2 linked regions of the Neodiprion lecontei genome follow. The protein of the gene in region 2 binds, or shares a complex with, the protein of the main gene of each other region. Links are inferred from orthologs where the notes say so. Each region holds a gene or a part of one and is shown on either strand. Other genes may lie near its edges.

Evidence for each region. Proteins that work in one complex are often made in the same cells at the same time.
Region 1: the proteins of ribonuclease H2 subunit B (region 2) and ribonuclease H2 subunit A are in contact, whole or in part, in a crystal structure (PDB 3PUF), measured with the Homo sapiens proteins. The link is inferred for Neodiprion lecontei from reciprocal best matches to the Homo sapiens genes RNASEH2B and RNASEH2A. Residues at the interface, in NP_078846.2 of Homo sapiens: His16, Phe18, Lys39, Asn42, Gly48, Ala49, Ile50, Val63, Lys64, Val65, Phe66, Lys67, His70, Phe74, Val79, His86, Phe87, Val183, Tyr211, Gly214, Leu215, Asp218, Tyr219; in NP_006388.2 of Homo sapiens: Val227, Phe228, Ile253, Trp254, Glu255, Ser284, His285, Tyr287, Phe288, Arg291, Gly292, Leu293, Glu294, Ser295, Ala296, Thr297, Ser298, Leu299.

The regions. Positions count from the first base shown.
Region 1 is NC_060263.1:39,232,505-39,236,765, forward strand, and holds ribonuclease H2 subunit A, read right to left. Parts: upstream 2,722-4,261; 5' UTR 2,300-2,721; coding exon 2,150-2,299; intron 1,835-2,149; coding exon 989-1,834; 3' UTR 594-988; downstream 1-593. Other genes in the region: ubiquitin-like protein 4A, read left to right, coding at 3,110-3,157, 3,486-3,591, 3,725-4,014. UniProt on the Homo sapiens protein: Catalytic subunit of RNase HII, an endonuclease that specifically degrades the RNA of RNA:DNA hybrids. Participates in DNA replication, possibly by mediating the removal of lagging-strand Okazaki fragment RNA primers during DNA replication.
Region 2 is NC_060263.1:25,725,120-25,732,691, reverse strand, and holds ribonuclease H2 subunit B, read right to left. Parts: upstream 5,701-7,572; 5' UTR 5,524-5,700; coding exon 5,436-5,523; intron 4,946-5,435; coding exon 4,707-4,945; intron 4,582-4,706; coding exon 4,296-4,581; intron 4,157-4,295; coding exon 3,936-4,156; intron 3,862-3,935; coding exon of another isoform or gene 3,847-3,861; exon of another isoform or gene 3,772-3,846; coding exon 3,689-3,771; intron 2,340-3,688; coding exon 2,324-2,339; coding exon of another isoform or gene 2,244-2,323; 3' UTR 501-2,243; downstream 1-500. Other genes in the region: bystin, read left to right, coding at 1-132; replication factor C subunit 4, read left to right, coding at 6,608-6,720, 7,569-7,572. UniProt on the Homo sapiens protein: Non catalytic subunit of RNase H2, an endonuclease that specifically degrades the RNA of RNA:DNA hybrids. Participates in DNA replication, possibly by mediating the removal of lagging-strand Okazaki fragment RNA primers during DNA replication.

The sequences.
Region 1 (4,261 bases), about 14 Mb from region 2:
TTCTTTTTTTCGGTTGTCCCCGATCACTTGTCATTCATCAAGGATAGTTTGCTTATTGGTTATTGTATACTTCTCAAAGATTATATTTTGATTTTTAATAACTTCTGTATAGCCTTTACTAATCTAGTCGGTATTTAGTAATCATCAAATAATATTGTATTACATTGATATTCTAAAGAAGAAAACGAAAAAAAACGTGTGAATTTAGCATGTGTCTATATTAGCTGTAAGAGATCACATTTCTCGCTAGACATTCCTGACTGTTCTTCAAATATTCGTGTAATAGTATAATAACGTGTATTTTATGCTTTCATCTACTTATACTTAACCTTACATATGTAATGTAAATATGTATATAATTAAAATTATTTGAATTAATTTAATATTCCGTAATAAAAGTGTTATATCAAAAATAATCGATAAATCAACAGCAATTTGGTGTACGGCTAATTTCTGTAGAATTAATGAAATGAGTATTCGTTCAACTTAAACTTAAATGGATTAGAAAGGAAATAACATGTGAAAGGAGTGAAGAGGACTTCCATGATACACTAATGTATTAAAATTTTCCAAAAGTCAAACACTGATCGAAGTAATATCAGAAATAATGCTTTATTTTTCTAACTGTAATTCAAAGGCAGTACAATATAGTGAGACAATACTTTCGAATTTCATAGTATTTGAAATCTATAATGCTGAAAATAACAATAAATAAGTTTAAGAAAAAAAGTGTTCTGGGGCTTGGGTAGGTGAAATCGACCATTAAAAATAAAACTGCCAGAACTCATCTATCATTTAAAAAACAAATTAAAAATCGAGGTAGAGAACAAGATATTCAATCTGCCTGCAATTGTTCGCTTATTATGACTTGCGACTTAAAATATCTTGATTTCGTTTTTATACTTCAAGAAATTGTATCAGCAATTTAAAACTTAAATGCGATAATAAAATTTTCCTCTTTTCGATATAATAAAATCAATATTAACAATCAGAGGCTAGTCGCGTTGGTCAAGCACCTGTCTGCAAAGAACGTGTGTTTCTTCCTGTTAACTTTATTGTGCGTATCAACTTTGCTAAAGAATTTAGATATCTTTTGATTATTCGGGGGAGATTCTTCGTCGTTGACCTCTTCCCAATCAACAGGTAGAGCGCTTGACTCAAGAATTTTCTCAGCTGTCGACCAACTGAACCTGACTAATTGCGGGAAGCCAAAAACTTGATCGATGTTCTGAGTGAGCCATTTTTTTGTTACAGGATCATTTGGGTACCCACTACCATACTCGTTCTCGTTTTCACCCTCCCTAAATTGCCACGCTCTCAGCGCATGGTCCCTGGATACTTTGGCACAGATACTAGCCGCACTAACGATAGGATAAGTGGAGTCAGCCTTTTTTGCAACGGTTATTTTAAGTTCGGGAAATATCTCCTTCAGTTTTGCTTGATATTTTTCAGGTTTTCCAACAGTGTCAACGTAGACCTCGGCAAGATTGACTCCCGCCTCTATCGCCCTCCTGATCAATCCGATTGCAGAGTTCATCGATACCTCGTTAAGCGTAACTTTGCTACGCCTGTACATGCTGTTCGCTATGACATTGGGTGATATTACTTCTACTGCCCAGCCCATTTTATCGTCATTTTCACATATCTTGTCGAAAATTGCGTCCCTTTGATCCTCAGTCAGGGTCTTCGAATCCGCACAGCCCAAGTCCACCAGCAGTTGCTTTTCGCTCAACGGAGCGTACGAAATTCCGTAAACCATCGGACCCAGAACCGGACCTCGACCCGCCTCGTCTACTCCCAGCTGACATGGTTCTGTGCGACAAATTTGCGGCACCTGAAAGGAGTGAAACTCAACTTTATTTGATTCACAGACCTTGTATTTCTTATTGTATATTTTTCATAATGTTGTAGTCCCATACGAATAGAGAATTTCAAAATTAAAATTTAGCATCATGATGTGCAATAAGTAAATAGTATCGTGATTATTACGTGTGACAATACGTTAATTCAATTTTAAATATAGGCAATTTCTTGTTTGGAAAACCGTTGAACGTGATCCACTTTGTAATTATAACCTCAAAGCCGCGACGTTTGATCGTCTATCGGTGAGACCGAGAATGATTTCTGTAGAAACTAAAAGAAAGAATACCTTTGAAACGTGTATTTTATTCACACTATGATCACTGTTTACAAAATACGGTGTCAAATCGGCTCTGGACGTGATGTGATCGACACCGTTTATTGATTCAGCTTCGTTTGGTTCCACTGCAAATTCTGATTTCTGTTCGTCTTCACTCATGATTTTCAGCAGTTTATTATAAAGAATGTTGAAGTGAAAATATTGAGAAACCAAAACAAGAGAATAGCTTTTTTTCTCTAGTTGTTTACCGCGTGTAAGTTTTTGGCGCGCAGGAGTGAGGGCGGCTAGACTAAATTCTGAAGAAAATAAACTAGCCTTTTGTTCGTCAAAATTCGGCGCCTGAAGTAATTTCTCTTTCTACCACGAGCAGCGCCTTAAGATTATAGCTAGAGCTAGATAGTCAAATGTTTCAGGTATGCATGGATAATAATGTTTTGGGTTCGTATATAAGCTGATTAATTATTTTCATGACATTATTTTTCGATTAAAACGATACGATCAATAAATTTTCCGCCGAAGTAGTGCTAGAACACGGCTAGAGTAACAGGTGGCCGCAAGTTACAGGCGGCGGCCATATTCTGCACGATTGATAGCAAGGTCGTTCACTGAAATATTCCTCAGTCAACGGCAAGGTTCAGACCAGTCTTGACATCGAAGCGACATCAGAATAAACGAAATACATCAATATATACCACATTTCTATGCGAGTATGCGTTCTTGAGTCGTCGTATACTTCATGGCGATAATATTGGACAAAAATTGAGGGTTGCTTTGTGCCTTCACCTGTCGTCAGCAGCAGCAGCAGTAGTAGAAAAAATTGCGTTAACGAATCTAACCTGGAATCCAACCTAGGTGTAGGACAGATTGCTTTAATCGTTTAATTATTGCGAGGTATTGGATATTTAAATTAAGATGAGTCAACGTTGACACAGTTCTACCCCCGCCGTTCTGTGTTAAATTAATTCAAACATGAAAATCGTTGTGAAAATTCTACAGGGAAGAGAGTGTGTAGTTGACGTGAGTACGAGTTGTCTTTATATTGTCAAATCGTCAATATTGACATGTTTTTATGAGTATTCACCTTTTGTATTTTCCTTGCCACATTTCAATCACAAATTCGTAGTCAGATTTCATCACCCAACGTTCCAAACCACCCCGCAAAAGTTTCGAGAACATTGGTAAAGACTAATGCTCTCTTTCTTTGGAGCATTTTTTTTTATCAATCAGACGTACGGAAGGTATTCATTATTAAACATTCTCCGAATTATTCACATTTTTTTTTTGTTATTTCCAGCATTCCAACAATTCCGTTAATTTGTCATTAATTCACCATCCATCGTTTCAGATATTGCCGTCAAACACAGTCCTCGAGTTGAAACATAAAGTTAGTGAATCATTAGGAATCGCTGTACCGCATCAGAAGTTGATTCATACAGGAAAGGCCCTTGCAGGTACGAATAATCTGCAATTATCATTGCTCAAAAATCATTAAATTTAAATGGTTTCTAGTAATAAACGAGAAATTGCTTCAAATTTGGTTCAAAATATCTTTAAAGTTGATCCTAAAAAATTTCGTCGTTTCAGACGACCAGCTTCTGAGTTTTTATCCAACGATAAAAGACGGTTGCAAGTTAAATTTATTTGTAAAGAAGCAAATTCAAAGTGAGGGTAAGAGTGCTCAAGGTGATACTGGCATCCAATTATTCAGAAGCGAGATGTCAAGAGTCTTGAGGCATTATTATACAGAATCTGAAACACAGTCGATAATTAATGAGTTTATGAAAGACTTAAAAAAGAAAGTAGACGGCTTGAGCTATGACGACTTGGAAAGATTAGCAACGGCTCTGCTTCAGGATCAAGAAAGTACCACTTGAAGAAATTTTCCTTGGATTTTTTTCTGCAGAATACCTTCAATCATTCGTTTGTTAATTTTTAATAAAACTCTGCATCTAGAAAATTTTTAATTGTAAGGTTTTCCGTGCTTTTTGAAAAGTGAATGATGTTTTCTTGTACTGCTCACTTTTACAAATTAATTCTTTGCACTCTTTTTTAATTAATTATTTACAACAAATTTTCTATACATTCGTCCGTTTTACGCATTAATTTCCCTCTCATTTCACA
Region 2 (7,572 bases):
GCTCTGCTGGAATTATTGAAGAAACAATCACATCACTCGATTACTGGTGAAGTACGGAGAGAACTGCAACATGCCAAATGCAGGGATATTGAAGCTACAGAGCCGAAGAGTGAACCTATGTCGATTACATGAGAGGCTATTCTCGGAATTGGCTCAAGATGAGATGATATTAAAGTAATTACGCCTGTAATTCATTGTTTGTAACATGTAAATATTTAATAAAATGTCTAACATAAAATAAAAACCGTGTATCTTGATCAAGAATGTGTCGATTAATTTAAATAAATATTTAATAAAATATCTAACATGAAATAAAAACCGTGCATGTTGATCAAGAATGTATCGATTAATTTGAGTCAAGTCACTGAAGTTTCTTTATGTGTTTTTTAGTCAGATTACAAGATATTCAGTCATAATTTCAACCATATTTTATATGTTTGACGTGTTCTTCTTGAAAGTAAATGAGCTTTTCATGGACAGAGATAGGGATACAGCATAGCTGTTTCTGAATGTATATTATTATATTACATCTACAATATTGACATAATATTTCATCGTACAGCCAGGACAAAAACAAATACTTATCACTTATCCTCATACACTCTTTTCGACTCATACATACTTCTAATTCGAAACTTTTCATAGAGCTATCACAATCGACACCTCCAACTAATCATCAATAATATTCATCACTAATTAAGTACGACAAATATAAAATTGTAGTTTTCATTAAAATGACAAAACGGGAAAGTCGATTCGACGCAATATATAAAATAAAGTACAAAATATTCGTATACTGTTCAAACTAAACACATGGGATAATTTATGTGACTCCACATATACAGATATCAAATATGCTGTACCTCAGTGTCAGCGGTTTTCTGTTTCAAATTACAGTAACCATCAGATATCGTTTACATAATTTAAAAACAATCATATATTTACATTAATATCCTTCATGCATCAGGTGGAACTCAAACACATGTCATTGTTAATAGGATGCAAATCCACAGTAAATGACAATTAGCATTGAAGGTAGCTGTTTTCAAGTATTTGAGAAAATAAAAATGAAGTGCATGACTCTAGATACGAATTCACAAATAGAAATCATAAAAATATGCAATAAATACTGGATATAACACAGTTCAGATATCCAGATGAATGACTTCAATTTAAAGTAGCAAAAGTCGATTCTTGATTTGGATTTCCTGCGTGTAACATAGCTGCGAGTTTTTCAATAGAACTGCATGATAATCGTAAAATATGCTATATTCTAGATTATTATAACATTTCAATATTACCCTAATATGACTTTTGCAACTTTGGCTTTGAAAAATTACAATTAGTGAGGAAGAAATTTTCTGACAATTTTAAATATTGGTTACGAAAAAAATTATTGCTTTTTCGGACAGTCTTTTAAAATAAAGGATATTATAGGAAGCAAAAAGGAGCTAACCAACCAATAATGAAAAGGCTATAATATTACAAAATATATGAGACAAAAAAACACTCGCTTTTTTTCTTTTTCTATTTTAAGTATTACACAAGTTTCAATTGTAGGATTCGTTTGTTAGCTCCTTATTGCGTAAAATGCGTAATACTAGAATTTTATATCTAACGTATTCTAAGTTAAACATTGCAACAGTACAGGATAAATGTCTTCAAAAAACGTCGAGTGTTTACTTTTCACTTGATGTATTAATCTTCGCAGATCAACACCCTAAGTCTTGAATCTTTTCTTTTTAATTAATTCGAAATTCATCCCAAATGTTGAATACTTTTGTATCAGGAAAAGAAAATCGAAGGAATCAAACTCTATGTAAGAGTAATAATAAAATATAATTCGATAATCGTGAAATGTGTTAATATAAAATAAATCTTACTTATGCATTTAATGGAATAAATGACTAATTTTCGTTGAAATATTTTGAGCAACAGTTAACTGACGCAGATTTTGAATTACGTTTGACAGGTGAGATCAAATTATATATTATGAATCCATTGTGATGATTGATTACCATTCTAGATTAACAATTGCGGGGTTTTCTGGGCTATTTTTCCAACAATGTAAGTAGATAATTGAACATTGCTTAACCTTCAAATTTCCTTCAGATATTTTTACCAATTCAAATCTAAAGTTTAACACCAATAGGAACGCAGAGACTTCTCAGAATATTTTGAAGATCTCTTATAAATTTGGAAAACCAACTGGCGATTGATTGTTTCGTTGACTTGGTCACCGCTCATTTCTTCTTAAAAAAACTCGAAATATTCTTTGAACCAGCTGCTGCCTTCTGTCTGGACATCTCTTTCTTCGAAATGGTCAGAGGTTTTTGGGGCTACAATATTTGAAAAGATATTTTTAAAATAATCTGACACTTAGCTCTGGTAACTGATACATTTTAATTCACTGTCACTGTGAGCTCATTTCATGTAAATTTATAGCGAAACTATATTTCATAACCAAAATTAATATAAGACTACCCGATCGAGTCATTTGTTTGATTCCTATTTCACAAGTGCTAAGGCCTACGTTTGTTTTAGAAATTCATCAAGCATTTGACCAGTAAGTGTTCACAATTTATTATCCATTGAGCTTACTAATGTGGAAGTATAATATTTCAATTGGCAATGCATTTCAATGAAGGAAAAGTTGACTTTAAATTGCTGGTATAAAATGTATATTTTTTGTTATAACGAGTATATGTATATTCAGAGTACAGGGAAAACAGGAAAAACATTTGCTATGATTATCAAAATAAAGACAGTTATGAAATAATTTTATATGGTTTAGGATTGGAATATTCCTGCTCTTCATTCAAGGTTCATTACGAAAATGTAATTTTTTACTGTCATACAAGATGTATATCTTTGATAAATACTGAAAGTTATTGAAATCTGTTTTATTATGAACATCGATTGTTGAGTGAGATAATGCCCTCCCCTGAAGAAACAAGTCGCCTCAGTGAAACATAATGAAGACAAGATTTGACGAGTTATGAGTTCTCAGATGCAAGTCTTCCAACAAGCCAGCTAATGAGAACAAAACTAGTTTTCATACTGTTTCAACAAATTGGTTAGAATTTCCTGAATTAAAGCAACCTTTCCAATGCATAAATAGATATTGTTAACTCTGTTTAGAGTCTAAGAAATCAATAAATAAATTTCGTTAATGATACAAACGACTGCTTGATGATCATGTCATGATACTTTTTACACAGCTAGTGTATCCGAAGATATTTGCCACCTGATCCGCAGCCCTACAATCTAAGTTCGCTCACTTATGTCTTTAAGTTACAAAATAAATTTTGCATGAGAGGTTACAAAAACTAAATGTTGTCAGGGTTTGTAATCAGTTCTTTATACTTCAGAATAATTGTCAAACAAGGAATGATTTTCACTTATAAAAGTCACTTTTTCTGGGTTTATTGAAAACTTATTTTATATTCAATCTGGGACAGCAATGTTCATCATGCTTGTCACATCATAAACTATGAACCGATATATCATTAGAAAGCCGTACAAAATTAGGTCTTTGCATGGAAAAAAAGAAAATACATTTTTTAGATGAATATAAAGCAGAGAAATGTAAAACAATATGGTGGAATTTTTTGTTTTTTGTCAAAAAAGATGATTGCAGATGTTACAAGCAATTGAGTTTCACTGATTCTGTAATATATAAATTTACCTTAGCACGGGTGACGTCACATCGTTGTAGTTTTGAATTGGTTGTATTGGCTTCAATTTTCGTTTAATGGAAAAAAGGTTTCTCTGTTTTAAATGCATATAAAATTTTTATATGCAAAGAACAAAGTGTCTAGAAAGCTTGCACAATGAATTTTTCACCTAATTCTGTGAGATCTATTAAAAAGTTGTCATATGAAAACAAATCCCCGAGATTTTCAAATTTTCTATAATTTAGCATACGTACATACCTTTTCAGGTTTTGTTAAGTCTAGTGCTCCATTTCTTGGGATAGACTCTGACTCTGGTGTGTCTTTTTTAGCTTTCTTATCGTCGCTACTTTCCTTTGGACTGTTTGACTTTCGTTTTTTATTTTCTGGATCATCGGGCAGACTTAAGTGTTGGGCTAGTTTTTTAGACAAGTCTTCAGCAAGGTATTCCGAAACGATGCCATGTGCATACTTAAGATATTCTGAAAGAAATTGAGACTGTTATTATTGATTAAGTTAGTAAAATCAAACATTTATATATCACGGGATATAAATGTGTTATTGCATGTCGAGTCCATAATTTGATCAATAGAAAATGAGAATTCCTATCCAGATTCTCACCAACTTCTGTGCCAGATTCGTGTTTGTTGCTTTTAACATAGGTAGCACTAACAGCTCCTTGGGATACGTGTACACCTTTCTGCCTAAGTATTTCTGCGACTCGCCCAACTTTTTTTTGAAGCCAGACCATTGCTTTGTCTTCGTTAAACTTGAAAGCTTGCAGTTCCTCGTCCCCCTTACGATCTGCGATCAAAGATAGTTTTAGATTTTGACATCGTGCAAGGCGGGATGTTCCTGGGTAATCTTCATCACGAAGAATTTGGTCAAGAGGCATTACTTGTTGTGACTGAAATGAAATATAAATTGTACATCAATTTGTGATGTGAAGTTTCATCGTAAGGTTCCACCTATTCCTATTAATCACATAGTTTAGTCTTGAATTATGAAATAATGATTGGCATGAACACTTACCTTCCTTAGATATGGTAAAACCAAGAATATTGGATCAATTGGCGTCGACAAATGCATCTTTCCATCTGACTTGACATTGTCGTCTATGAACCATGATCTTTTATTCTCGTCAAAGGTTAAAACTTCTTGAACGGTGGTATCACCTGGGCTGAATACAAACATAGCCGGTTGGTTGGAGGCTGGGTGTCTGAGTTTAACTACATCCGGAGAACTACCGTCGGTATTCTCTAAGCCATCACCTGAAAAAACAAATCAATGAAATAGAGTGACACAACAAAATGAATTGGGAAAATGTAAAATGTTCATGCATACAATTTTTTAGTAGGTACCGAATTCATACAATGCCCCAGTTTTCTAGCCGAATTATGAACTTTCATTTGCATTTCAAAACATAACAAACTAGACGACAGGGCATTTACATTTGAAAAAATAAGTAATTTCAGATTTTTCCTGGAGGGAATTTGTGTAAGTTCAGTAAATTGATGCTGGTCAAACAATTGTGGAAGGACAGTAGCAGTCTTTTGTAATTACATAAAGAATAACAACCAGCATCGTTCTTTGATCGATGATAGTATTGATCCAGGTATAAAAAGAAATAGCATAGGACTAAAAATTCATGAGAATAATGGTGTTGGGAAAAGAAACGGGTGAAAAAATTGATTGCAGCTAATTTTTACCCTACAGTTGGCCAGTTGTTTGATTTATTTATTCTCTTTTTTTTTTATTTACCTTTCATAAGGAACACCCAAGTGTTGGCTGCCGGGTGCGTATTGGACGTTTTGACGCATTTTTTCGGCGAGGCTTTGACACGCGGCATGTTACTCAACGTTGTCAATTGACAAAATTGATAATTAATGCTGATTTTTATTTAATGTAATGGGGGAGACATACAGGAATAAAGTTCAGAAGTCGGCCATTTTTAACAACTACCCAGTACCCGGCCGTCGGCCTGTCCGCAGGTTCGGCAATACCATTTTCACTGCTAAGTGCAGCCAAGGTATAAAACATAACATAACATACAAAATATCTCCTATAACTCGACGGAACACCACATGCAATGCCCTCTAGTACCGAAAATATGAAAATGCGAGAGGCCATCCAGTGCTGGATTGATTGAATCTCATGACTCAGTCGTCCTATCATATTTGCTTAATTTAGTTATGTATTGCATGTTGTTTGTTGGAAAATTAAACTCTCTAGTATTTGCTTTACCGGAAACGGGGGCGGGGGGGGGGGGAGGGGGGGGGGCACGTCGCGCAAATGTAAATTTCTCACCGCAAAAGAACGGCTAACGTTTTCGTGTTTCGGTTACCAATTTTGAGGACTTTTTTGGAACTTGAGCGAAAATTTTTTTGGCCTACGTGATTCTTTATTAAAAATTGTAAAAAATGAGACCTTATAGGACCCTTAACGATATGTTGTACCAGAAAGATGGAATTTACAAGATTGGGACATTTTTTTACTTAACGAGGTACATAAAAAAAAATTATCTTATCCCTCTAGGGTTAATAGCCAAATTTGACAACAATATATAAAATTGAGGAAAATTATTAATGAAAAATTGTAACATTAATGTCAGCAGTTTTGTGTGTATGCAAATAAAAATTGATCGATTTTCACTATTTCTCTTCGCACGACCTGTTGTATAGGGACTCAAGCACGACTTTCTACTTGTGCTGATCGCCGCATCTTGGCGTCTCTATTTGTAATATCCCTTTGATATCCCTTTGCTTATGGCAGTTTTTAGTTATTCCTGTAGTCTATGCTCACGAGTATCATGAATATAGGAAAACGTATCTTGCGCATGCCGTGAATTTTTTTACTGACGTATGAACGCGCGAAGTTAATACATTGGCCGGTTTTCTATCATTCAACGTTCAAGCGATATAATTTTGAACACAATGCATGGTTTTTTGAAAAGAGGTAAACTCGGCCCCAGTGACAGAAAGCCTACTTCAAGTTCGAGTTCAAAGGATAAGCGTAAAGGACCTTCACCACCATGGGTTGAAAAATAGTATGTCTAAAGTAATATTATTTATTCGTGGTAATGAGTATTTGTCGAGTACGAAAAAAATATTTTGAAAGGAGTTCTTTCACGACGTGATATCTGTGTTATTATTGAATGAGTTGCACTTGAACTTTTCAACTTCGTATGCAAAAAATTTCAGGATTGGTTACTGAACAAATATACTAGAAAAACGTCTGAAATCCCAATCTTCAGCACGTAGTTTCGTGAGGAGACTTGCTTCTGAAGCAGTTTGGTTAGATAATTATAATACATAGATATTTCAAACTTCTCTTGAATATAAGTCCTCTGCGGTACATATTATGCTGATTCTTGATTATGTTAAAACATTGGATCATAGAAAGTTTTGAATTTCTTCAATCTTGCAAACCAAAATTGAGGTTAATTATGTAGTTTCATAATAATTTGCAAGGAAAATTGAAAGAGCTACATCATATTTACTTGAATTTTTCATCGAACCAGCTTGATTGAAATCTGGCTTCTGCACTGATGTTGAGTACCTTTTATCTTTATCTATTAAATCTTTTCATTTTTTTTTTGAGAGTGTCAAATGGTGAAATTATGTGTAGTGTTCAAAAGTCAATATGATAAGGGTTAGACGTTCATTCAGTTGGCATGAAATGCTTAATTTAGATATTGCGCCATAATAAATTACCCACTAAAAGAGACCTGACTGTAAGAACCTCTGTAAATACTTTAGCTGTATACTTAAATTATCAAATTTGACTGCCACAATTGGTTGAAATAATTGTTTCTAAATATGCCGCGGTTCAAAGTGTAGACCAATGTCACAATTCCATTATGACACGTTAAGCACATTTTTCTCAATTCCACAGTAGA